3 linked regions of the Mus musculus genome follow. The protein of the gene in region 2 interacts with the protein of the main gene of each other region in a pairwise test. Links are inferred from orthologs where the notes say so. Each region holds a gene or a part of one and is shown on either strand. Other genes may lie near its edges.

Region 1 (3,750 bases), on a different chromosome or scaffold from region 2:
GCTTCCTGTTAATTAAGAATGAGAACGAACTGGGTCATAAGCACTCACACAGAGCTAAAGATCAGCTAACGTGTCCCTGAAGGCAATGAAGCTGTAATTTGGGAACAGGTGGGCTGCACTGTTGACTCCTCTGTGGTAGGGAGATTCCATCTGTGGGATGCCGAACCAGTCACTCAACATGAAACTCCCTCAGTCCGTTATGGACCAGAGAATCGTGGGAGGGTAGAGTGTGGGACCTGCGGAGGGGTCTGGCCCCTTTTCTCATCATCTCCAGGTCCTTCTAAAGTTGTGCCCTTGTGGAAGTGTTCTGGTCATCATTTTTGCAAGGAATCTTAGGTGGCATGCGACTTGGCTTTATCTACCCTGCTTTTTGCAGCATGCTTCCTTCCTGTCAGGCTCCTTCAGCCACACCATCTTTCATCGGCATGCTCTCGGGACACCGATGAGGATTCAGTTTCAAGAATATACAGTTTTTCCACCAACAATCTCTTGAAAGCTGTTTTCTCTCAGTTTATTTAGAGGGGAATTTAATTCACTAAGAAAACCACCTCATGAATGTTTTCAGCTTCTTTTTTTGACTGGAGGGGGAGGGGCTCTGTGCTGTGATAGTAAGACTAAGGGTCACAGCATGCATTTTCTGGCAACCAGAGAAAGGACAAGCAGGCTTTAATGATGAAAGTTGCAGGCACTCGTGAGTCACAACTTTGAGGGTTGAAATTATCTGCCGGGCACTGTTCACAATGGTTTTGCAATCCATGTGTATACATACATGCACACACAGATATGCACACACACGAGCACACACATCAGTGACAGATGACCTATTGAAATAATTTCAGAGCCAGTCTGTGGTTGCTACGACAACCAATGCTCTCTTGGCTTTTATCTGGCCATGTGACAGGGACTTTGACGTCAGCCAGAGGCAGAGTCTGTGGCTGAGTCCGCACAGTCAAAGGCTTGTGAGAATCTGGTGGATGCTGGACCTTGCTGCTGCTGCTGCCGCCGCCGCCGCTGTTGCTGTCCCTACAGCTGTGGTTGTTGCTTCCCAGGGGCTGCAGGAGCATGGACTACTAAACCCCCACTTCTTCAGCGTGAGGTAATCGGTTTGCTTTATACACAGGAGTTACGTGGTTTCACAGCCCCTGATGGTTTTCCCTCCCCTCTTAACCTCCTACAACTTTGCCTTCAAGAGCAGTTACTGACGAACGGAGCCAAAGAATGTGAAGCAGCTTCCAGTCACGAATTTCAGGCAGTCTCTGGAACTTGGTTAAATTTGGATTAGTGTTCCATGAAGTAGGTTAAAATGTAATCTTTCTTGCGCAATGCTTGCTAACATACATTATTTAGAAATTCTCATTTTGCAGCGTGAGCCAAATTTGCTCCCTTGAATTCTAGGAATCCCTCCTTCAGTGTTGTTTGGGGTCTGGTAACTCCAGCACCGCCTTGGAGGGAGCAGCTAACTTTTCCTTGTTGCTGCTGCTGATTCTGCGTCAGCCCACAGCAGTCTGGAATTTGGTTTCTACCTCATTTGCAGCATGTATAATTAGCAACAATGGGAACCGTGAGAAAAGACTCTAGACTTTGAAAGTTGTGGTTATTATTGTAAAGGGGGCTTTTGGTACTCTGTAAATAAGAGGGGAACTGTCAACAGCTTCCTGTTTAGAGAAAAGAATCTGCAATATGCCAAGGAAGTCGGGGTGGAACCTTTATGTGTGTGCGTGTGGTTGTTTTGTGGGTGTTACTGTGAAGTGCTATTTTGTGGCTCGCTCTCTCTGAAAACCCTGGTGAAGAGGAGGGACTGACTGGCCTTTTCTAAGGAGTCCTGTAAGCTGGTTCTGATCTTTATTCTTAAAAGTAATTATCTTGAGAAGAAACTAGCCTGGAACTAAATATGCATTGATGTGAGGTCTTCCCTAACTGAAATGTAGATTGAGGATGCTCGATAAAAATTTGCTCCAGGTCTTGTGTGAGTGATTTGGTAACTGATGAGCAAGGATTGCTCCGGCTGTTGTGTGTGCATTGCTGTGGTTCTGCTAGCTCCTTCTGCAGCTCCAAGTTTCAAGGAAACCTCAGGTTCTGAAGCAAACAGAAGCCTAGATGGATAAACAGGTTTCTAGATCTTACAGATTTAACAGAAACGAGGCGTATTTTAGACAGCCATCTGAAATAGAACCAGCATTTGAAGGAGCATAGATAGACTGGCTCCACTCGATATATGCAGTCAGTAGGTTGATGATATAGTTATATTTTAGTTTGGAGAAATAATACATTGTTTGGACAGTAGGTTGACGATATAGTTATATTTTAGTTTGGTGAAAGAATACATTGTTTTTTGCTTCTGTTACTAGGCTCAGAATTGTGGGTTCTACATTTTGCTCTCGTTGGGTGAGAATTCTGAGAGCCTGTAGCCGCAGCAGTAAATGAATAACTGCTTGAATCAATTATTTTCCAAGCAGCTTTCAGTGAATGGACCTTTTGATCAGAGCTTCCGTTAGGACTGTCCACTGTCTGATGTGCTTGTACATACATGTATTTACTAAGACGTCTTCCAGTCATTTAACTGACCTCATGTTCTTGTAACCCAGACGCTACCACTTTCATGAGTCAACTGGTGTGTGACATTTCAATTGAGAATGGGGGGACCAGCTAGCACTGTCATTTAAAGGCATCTCTCGTGGTATACACTTGGTGCTTTAACTTTTCTTGTGTCGACTGTTATCTTCACTCTTTTTCTTGGTTCTCTCCCTGGTTTTAAATTCACAAGATGATTATGTACGACATCCTCATGCCCTCATGCATGAGACTGGATTCCAACAATCAAAACTGTGAGAGAGAGAGAGTCGGTGTTAGTGGCAAAATGTCGGTGATAAAAAGTTGGGAAAAGAGCCTCCCTGATGAAAATAAGAACTTTCAAAGCCTCGAGCCAAGGGTTTGGTTTTTTGTTTTTGTTTTGTTTTTTTTTTTTAAATAAGGAAAGGGGGCTGAGGAGCATCCCCCTGCAGCAGCGAGTCTGTGCTGCCTGCTATCAAGGTCAAGAGTGCTTCAGCCTCAGAAGATGCCAGCATGGAATGATTGACTCTAGAAACCTGGCTGCTGAATTATTAAAGGCTCTGGGTCTAGTTTCAGGAAGCCTTAACCCTTTCAGTGCCACGAGCACGTCTGGCCGTCTGGTGCTACCTGTGGACTCTTTTCCAGAATGATATCTGAAGTGCATAAAACAAAGTATGCTGTGTTGCAAAGGAAACTACTTTTCATGAAAATGTGTCTTTAAAAAAAGAAAAAGAAAAAGAGGCCATGAGTTTGAAAGAAAGCAGGGAGGGGAGAGGGGCAGGGGAAGGGGGGAGATTCAGAAGGTATTGGAGGGAGCAAAGAAAATGGGAGGGATAAAGTTATTATAGAATAATTTCAAAACATACAAAATAATAAAAAATAAAATATACTATCTTTTCATTATGACAGGATAATTGCTTTGTTCATATGTTATTAAGTCATATACCCTACCAGCAGGTGCAATAGCTACCACAGTAATGAGGCAGTGCTTCGCGTGAAGGCTGCTTTGAAATAGAGTTAGTCTAAGAATTGCAATATGAAATGCAAATATCTGCGATTTGTCTTGGCAACATCCCTGGCACTGTGGTTTGTGACCCACATTTTAGTGGAAAGAAATACTAAATTTCAGTTTGGGGTTGGTGGAAATAAAGATGACATTATTTAACCACCCAAGTTCTTGGGGTTCTTCTGGATTCTGTC
Region 2 (3,650 bases):
ACACTTCCACGTATTGAAGAGCAATGGGACATCAAATTATAGCCTCCATACTACAGTTCAGATAACATAAACAGAAGTGTTTGGTGAGGTGTGTACATCTGTGGCAGACTACTCACATAGCCTGTGAGGCCATAAATGCAGTTCCGGCACTGCAAAAGTAGACAAACAGATGAAGTGAATGTATAGAGAGAATGTTAAAGATAAAAAGTAAAAGGAAGAAAGGAATTTACCTGTTGTTACTTACTTGAAACCATTTCAGAAAAACAAAACAAAACAAAAACCCCCCAAAAACCAAAGATACAAAGCTGTGTTGTCCTGCAAATGACATGAAACTATTACTCACTCATTATAGGATCTATTCAATACTATTGTATTTTTAAAATGAGTATTTTCAAAACGAGGAACCAGAGCTTTGAAAAGTTATATAGCCAGAGCCAGGCATGGTGGCTCATAACTTTAATCCCAGCACTTAGGAGGCAAAGTCTGAGAGCTTGAGGCCATCCTGGTCTACCTAAGAAGTTTCAGACCAGTCAGAACCTTCTCAGGGAAACCTTGTCTCAAAGGAGAAAAAAAAGTTTATAACCCAGCTATTATAATGACAAATAAGTGATCTGCTTCTGTAGTGGATCTCTTAAGAAATTTAGAGAAGGAATGGCTGGAAGATATAATTAATGGGAAACACTTGTCTAGCATGCACAAGGCCCGTTGGTTAGATCACCAGAACCACGGGAAGAAAGGTAGGGTGATCTTTGAAATTTTCTCCTGTCTGTTCCCCAGATTCTCTCAAAATATTTCTAAGTCTATTCTTCTAAGAGTTTTGTATGCAGCACTGGGTTTTTTCTTTTAAATTACGGTATAAATATACATTCTGTTTACAACCTGTATGGTCTTTTTGATCCCATCTTAATTTCTTTATCAAGTTGACTTGGTGAAGATTATAATCAAGGCCTCAGTTTATTTAAAATGGTTCCTTTTATTTATAGTCCTCAGTGTTTACTAAGAGCTACATTAGATACATTTTGTATGTTCATTAACCTTGGCACCTGATTTTGCAGGTGGTTTTGGAATGTATGCTTAAGAAAGACCTCATCTATAATAAGGTCACTCCCACATTTCACCACTGGAAGATCGATGACAAGAAGTTTGGCCTTACCTTTCAGAGTCCTGCTGATGCCAGGGCTTTTGATCGAGGCATTCGAAGAGCTATAGAGGATATATCTCTAGGTAGGTTTCATTATTCTTATCTGAATATTATTTATAAGTAGTAGATATTCTTTTTTTGAACTTTGACCTAAAGTAGTTGCTGTCCTTTAAAAGGTGTTTAATAATAGAAAAAAAAATGTTCCAAGAATAACAGTCAGTTTGTGGTACGACTCAGTGGTCAAACATGCCTGTTAGCACAGTGCTTAGGGACTGAGGCAGGGGAATTGAGAATGTGAGATCTTCTTGGTTTGGGTTATTTAGTAAGCCTGTATTTTAAAAAAGCAAGGAGACAGAGAGTAGGGGAGTACAAGGTGCTGTTTTCTGAAAATTTGAAGAAATATAAACTACTTATGAGGAAACTAGATATGAGCATGGAAATACTTAATGCTAAGTGTGTTTTGATACTGTGTGAAGCTGGTTAGTTTTGGCATATTTTTTAAAGCTCTCAGTTGATTATATTTTTAGGTAAGTTTTATAAAACAAATATTTTAAAGAGAAAATTATTATTCATAGCTGTTAAAATGAAAGTGATACATTTCAAATTTGGGTTGACTTTCAAGCCCATATTTATGCCCTTGTAAGAGAACACTTCTTTTTCTAAGATGGAGTAAGCTGGGTACACAGTGCTGAGCCAGTTTTCTGTTTAAGGAGGAATTGCACATACACCTAACCAAGATAGTATTGCAATGTCTTTATCAACAGTGTTCTCTTTCAACAGATTTACTAAATTTCTGTCACTTAGTTTTTTATCCCCCAAAATAAACTAGACTACTTTTTACAAAGGTCTCATTCCTTATCTCATGCCTGCTTCATGATAGCCATGCTTAGAGCATAAATGCAGAATATTCTGCTACCATACATCATTTTGCATTCACTTGTTATAACTAATGGCACTCTTTAACACCATACAAGCTTATACAGACATGTGCATGCACCGCGTCAGTCAGCTGGGCCTTGACTGCCCATAGTAAATTAAGACTGACTTCATTTTTTAACTTGAGCAGCTGAAATTCTGATTCTGAACACATATGTTTCCTGGGTCAGACAATTTAGAAAAAATTGAATTAGTCACATTTTGACATCACTAAACAACCAGAGAAATATAACACAGCTAGAAGCTTAGCCGTGAAAGAAAGTAAGTGGAAACTTGCCAAGAGCTGATGGAGACAGTCACTTTTTATTCTAACAGAGGAGGAAATACAAGAATCTGCTATTTGAATGTTGCCAGGCAATACAGAAGTCAGTCAGTCAGTCATATATATAAATGCTATGCTTAATTAACTTTGGCCTCTTTTCTTAGGGTGCCCAGCGTCAAAAACTGAGGCTGAAGGAGGAGATGATGATTTACAAGTAAGTGGTTTGGCTTGAAAGGAATTTTAAAACATTTTCTGTAGGAAATCATTAGAATTCATAAGTAAATTTCAAAGAACCTGTATTTACCTTGGTCTTCCAGGTAAACGGAACCATGTCACAGAAAAGTTTGTTTTGTAAGGAGTTTTACAGGTTGCAAGTATGAAATCCTTAAAGTAGGCAGGTTGACATTCTGGAAGCTAGACGAACCCATGCTGCATGACTGAGCTGAATTTCCAGACCCCTCGGGACATCATCTGTGTTGAGGGAAGTCTCCTTACGTACTGAACTGGTTGGTTTTGTGTCAACTTGACACAAACTGGAGTTTTCACTGAGAAAGGAGCTTCAGTTGAGGAAATGCCTCCATGAGATCCAGCTGTAAGGCATTTTCTTAATTAGTGATCAAGGGGGAAAGGCCCCTTGTGGGTGGGACCATCCCTGGGCTGGTAGTCTTGGTTCTATAAGAGAGCAGGCTGAGCAAGCCAGGGGAAACAAGCCAGTAAGGAACATCCCTCCATGGCCTCTGCATCAGCTCCTGCTTCCTGACCTGCTTGAGTTCCAGTCCTGACTTCCTTGGTGATGAACAGCAGTATGGAAGTGTAAGCTGAATAAACCCTTTCCTCCCCAACTTGCTTCTTGGTCATGATGTTTGTGCAGGAATAGAAACCCTGACTAAGACACATACTGTAGGGCTGGCGAGATGGCTCAGTGGGTAAGAGCACTGACTGCTCTTCCAAAGGTCTTGAGTTCAAATTCCAGCAACCACATGGTGGCTCACAACCACCCATAATGAGATCTGACACCCTCTTCTGGTGTGTCTGAAGACAGTTACAGTGTACTTACATATAATAAATAAAAAATCTTTAAAAAAAAAAAGACACATACTGTATATTGATTACATGTAGTCATGTCCAAAGCATAATGTGTGGCAAAGTTTAGATTAGTGTTTAGCCAAACAACTACATACCATATATGATTTGGCAAGCCAACAAAATTAACAATACACACCTGTTCACTACTTTCCACTTAAGAAAGTTTATAGAAAAAGGAATTGCAAATTGTTAGTAGCATATAGTCAGGAAGATGGCAGCCATATC
Region 3 (3,750 bases), on a different chromosome or scaffold from region 2:
TCTGGGCTGACACAAGCTGCAACCTGCCTTCATTCCTTCCCTGAAACATTCTTCCTTGCAACCAGCCCTTTCCCAGATGAGCAGTGGTCAGGCAGCAGCATGAACTCAAACCTGTGGGCACAGGCAGACCTTGTGAGGCTATGGTGTGGAACCCTCACCCATGCACTGTCTTCTGACACTGATCTAATGATCTAGGACTCCAGGGGAGAGTCTCCAGGTCTTTCTGCCCCTAAGCAAGCTTTCCCCCTTCCAATGGGACTTAGACAATTTCTGAGCATCTTGGATAGGGGGAAAGGTTCCTGATTCTTATTGTTTCTAAGTCTGTCTTCTGGAAGTTTTTCTCCTGTGCCTGCTGCACCTGAGCATCCCGCAGAAGCTTGGAGGCAGAGCCTAGGCTATAGTCACGCTCAGTGAATGTCACTTAGATTATGAGAGAAGAGCAACATGCCCTTCCTCTTGGTACTATGTCACACTGTTTTGTTTGTCTGTGATCTCCTATCAAGCCTACTTCAAAGACAATAGAACTCAGAGTCAGGGAAGAGAAAGGTTCACCCAAGGTCAACTGGAGCCCATCAGCTACAAAGCAAAGACCAGCGCCTATGTGGGTGCGTGCTCTGTTGAAGTCGTACCTTCTGGAGGGCTATGCTTCACTTGAGGAGGTACTCCTTGCTTCAAAAATCTCTGCCCCCTCCTCTGTGCTCAGAGGCTTCTTCTAGGGGGTCCGGGGTTAGGGGGTTCAAGTGGAGAGATGACAGTAAAAAGTAGGAGGGACTGAAGGAGGCAATAATCCCACACCCTCGCCTAGCTTCAGAGAAGCTGGTGCTGAAGCGGTTGCCATGGTGACAACAGCTCCCTGGTCAGGAGATTTTTCTCTTTCCCTCTCCTCCCTTTGCTCTTCCACAAGCAGCAGCAATGGCAGTAACAACCAGGTCTTGTTCCTCCCCTTCATAATAAAAGGCAAAAGTGACTCATACAAGGTGAGCTGTGTTGACCACCTATAATTTGGAGCTTTCATGCCAGGGTGGCCTGGTGGTCTGGAAAGGCCCCTAAGAGAATGAGGCTGTAGGATATGTAGGAGGGAGTAGCCTGAACCTTGGCCTGAGTGAAAAGGATGTCCCTACAGTGATGGATGGGGCCTCTCAGGTCTCCTCTGAGAAATATCCTAATGGTTTGAACAGGGCTTTGTTCTCCTGTAATCAGCTGTGGAACCAGAATATGTCAGACCTGGAAGGCTACTCAAGACCATCTCATCGAACCCTCCTCTGTCCTGCTCTTTGCCTATCTCATGAAGAATCTGAGAGGGAAAAGCCTTGGCTAAAGTCAAGCAGAGATCGAGGCGAAGGCAAGGCTTGCACTCTTCTGCTTTCTCATTCAGACATAGGGAAAGGAGAAAATGAGCCCACATGGACTCATCTTTGGCTTCATCTCTGCAAACAACAGGAAGCCGAGAGAGGGAGCAACAGGCACAAAAGGAACAGAGAAGACCGGGTTACAGAGAGAGGACCTGGTGCGTTCCTGTGTGAGGGATGATGAGGTTTAAAGGCTAGAGCTATGGGGTGGTCTTCTGGGAGGAGCAACCCTGGTTTATGCTCCAAGCAAGATAAAGGAAGAAGAGTGTGGAACCCCTGTCTAGTTGGGAGGCTACTAGAAGGGAGATGGTGAATGGGTCTGGAGTAGGAGCCTCAGGGGTCTTCATCCTTTCCTTAGGTATGCTGTGAGCTGTCAGCATAAGGGGCAGAGAGAGTGTAGTCAGAGAATGAATTTGCTATCGAGGTCTTTTGGGGAACAAGACCCTGAGATGGGAATGACAGTGAACTATTGGTGTCGGTGTGGGCTACCTCCAAGTAGAGGTTTCCATGAGGCTTGGTTCTAGAGGCAAGAGAACACAGGGTGACTGAAACCTCTCTTCTAGCACCAGTGACACCACACACCCCCAAGTAAGAGTGTGTGTGTGTGTGTGTGTGTGTGTGCGCGCGCGTGCGCGTGTGTTTGCACTGGAGCCAGAGGAATGGTTGTTCTTACCTGAGCTGGGGGTAAGGAGGCAGCTGTACCTCCTTCTTGAACTGGAGACCCGGCTTGAAGTGAAAGTTCCTGGCCCAAGGCGGGCTTCCCAGATGGCTGTCCACCTATGACAGACCCAGGGTCAGAAAGATGGATCTGAGCAGATGAGGATGGGAGTGGAAGGCGGAGGAGGAGGGGCTCAGGGCCTCCGCCCCGCGAGGTTGCTTCTAGGGCCCGGCCCCACCCTCATTACCTGAGGCCGCTCGCCGAGTCGCTAGATGGCTCCGAGCTTGGGCGGCCGCGGGGACAAGGCTGGCTATCAGGCGGACGACAGGCTCTGTAGGGTCCGCGTCGGAGCCGCCTCCCCAGTTCTTGTATCACTATTTGCTTCTCGAAGGCGACACGATTTGCATAAGACCCGCCTCCTCTCAGCAACTTTGGACATCGATTGGTTCGGCTGGCACCGAGTGACAGGCAGGGTTTCAGGTGGGGATGGGGTGGCCTGTGAGTCTAGGCTACCACAAGAGCGCGCCCCGCCCGTCCGCCCGCGCTGACCTTCCCGGAGTCGCCAGGATTGTAGAGGGCTGTACCCCCATCTGTTCCTCAACCCTGAGGCTCAGAGCCTGGGTCACAGTTTGGAGCGAAAAGTACCGATGATTAAAGTGGATTCGCAAAAAACAACCGCACCGTTGCTATGGGAACAGAAGAACCACAGTTGAATTTCTAAGCCTTCTCTTCCTGGGCCCCAGCGGGGGTGGGGGTAAGATAGGGGGTGATTCATAAGATGCGACCCCGTCTCTTGTCCTGCCCGTACCTGGAGGGGATCAATGAGGAGCTGCGGAGTGGCAAGGTGGAAAAGGGGAGATGGGGTGGTCAAGAACTCGCGGCTTTGCACCAGTGCCCCTCCACACCCACTCCTCTCCCGCCGTTTAGCAGAGGGGAGGGTGGGTGCGGCACGAGCTGGGTGGATGTGGAAGTATCCTCTACCTAGACACACGAGGGCGTGGGCTCCCTCCAGCCACCCCCACAACTCTAAGTCAGATCTCTTGTCAGGCTCTATCCTTACTTCTCGAGGACCCCTAAAAAGACTTGTTGGTTCTCCTCCAGAAGGAGCCTTTACAGTACGCCAAGCATTGCTCCATTCCCCACCCTCCCGCATTCCCGTCGCTTAGATGGAGCCGGTTCCCAGCCGCCGCCAGTCTCCGGCCTCGGATGTTGACACAAACCAGAGGCGGTTTACACTGAACGGGTCTGGAAGGTTTCAGGGAGGCGAAAACACCTCCTTTCCGCACTTGGGGGTCTCGTCACAGCCCGCTCAGTCGCCACGGATGTACTGGTGTCTGAGAGCTCACAACCCAAGGTGGTGGGAAAGAGCTCTAACGCCAAACTCAGGGCGAAAGGGGAGCAGAGATCCCTGGGCTGGGCCACGTGCGGAGGAGGGACTTCAAGGGATCTACCAAAAGTGGGGGCGGGACGCGTGGGGGATTGGTTAAATGGGATTGCAGATGCAGAAGAGGCCGGATTTCTGTCCAGGCAGCAAATGGTGGAGATGAGCGCTGTTTGGGGGACTAAGGACAGGCAAAGAACCGGTTTTTGGAGATTTGGTCTTAGAAACTCCCAAACAAAGCACAGCCAGGGGAAACCAGTAGGACCCGCGTCTTCCTTATGAGAGCTATCCATTTCCTCTTAAGCCAGTTGCGCTGTCCCGTTCTAGCAGCTGGATATGCCTTCTCTCTGGGGTTGCAGCAT

Evidence for each region.
Region 1: the proteins of Spred1 (region 2) and Ncald interact in binary tests that used the Homo sapiens proteins (3 or more experiments, as listed by UniProt). The link is inferred for Mus musculus from reciprocal best matches to the Homo sapiens genes SPRED1 and NCALD.
Region 3: the proteins of Spred1 (region 2) and Hpcal4 interact in binary tests that used the Homo sapiens proteins (3 or more experiments, as listed by UniProt). The link is inferred for Mus musculus from reciprocal best matches to the Homo sapiens genes SPRED1 and HPCAL4.

Annotation. Positions count from the first base shown.
Region 1 is NC_000081.6:37,456,563-37,460,312, reverse strand, and holds the start of Ncald (neurocalcin-delta), read left to right. Parts: upstream 1-930; 5' UTR 931-1,096; intron 1,097-1,180; exon of another isoform or gene 1,181-1,293; intron 1,294-1,726; exon of another isoform or gene 1,727-1,824; intron 1,825-3,750. UniProt on the Homo sapiens protein: May be involved in the calcium-dependent regulation of rhodopsin phosphorylation. Binds three calcium ions.
Region 2 is NC_000068.7:117,162,443-117,166,092, forward strand, and holds part of Spred1 (sprouty-related, EVH1 domain-containing protein 1), read left to right. Parts: intron 1-1,055; coding exon 1,056-1,224; intron 1,225-2,503; coding exon 2,504-2,553; intron 2,554-3,650. UniProt on the Homo sapiens protein: Tyrosine kinase substrate that inhibits growth-factor-mediated activation of MAP kinase. Negatively regulates hematopoiesis of bone marrow.
Region 3 is NC_000070.6:123,182,129-123,185,878, reverse strand, and holds the start of Hpcal4 (hippocalcin-like protein 4), read right to left. Parts: upstream 2,376-3,750; 5' UTR 2,255-2,375; intron 2,127-2,254; 5' UTR 2,023-2,126; intron 1-2,022. UniProt on the Homo sapiens protein: May be involved in the calcium-dependent regulation of rhodopsin phosphorylation.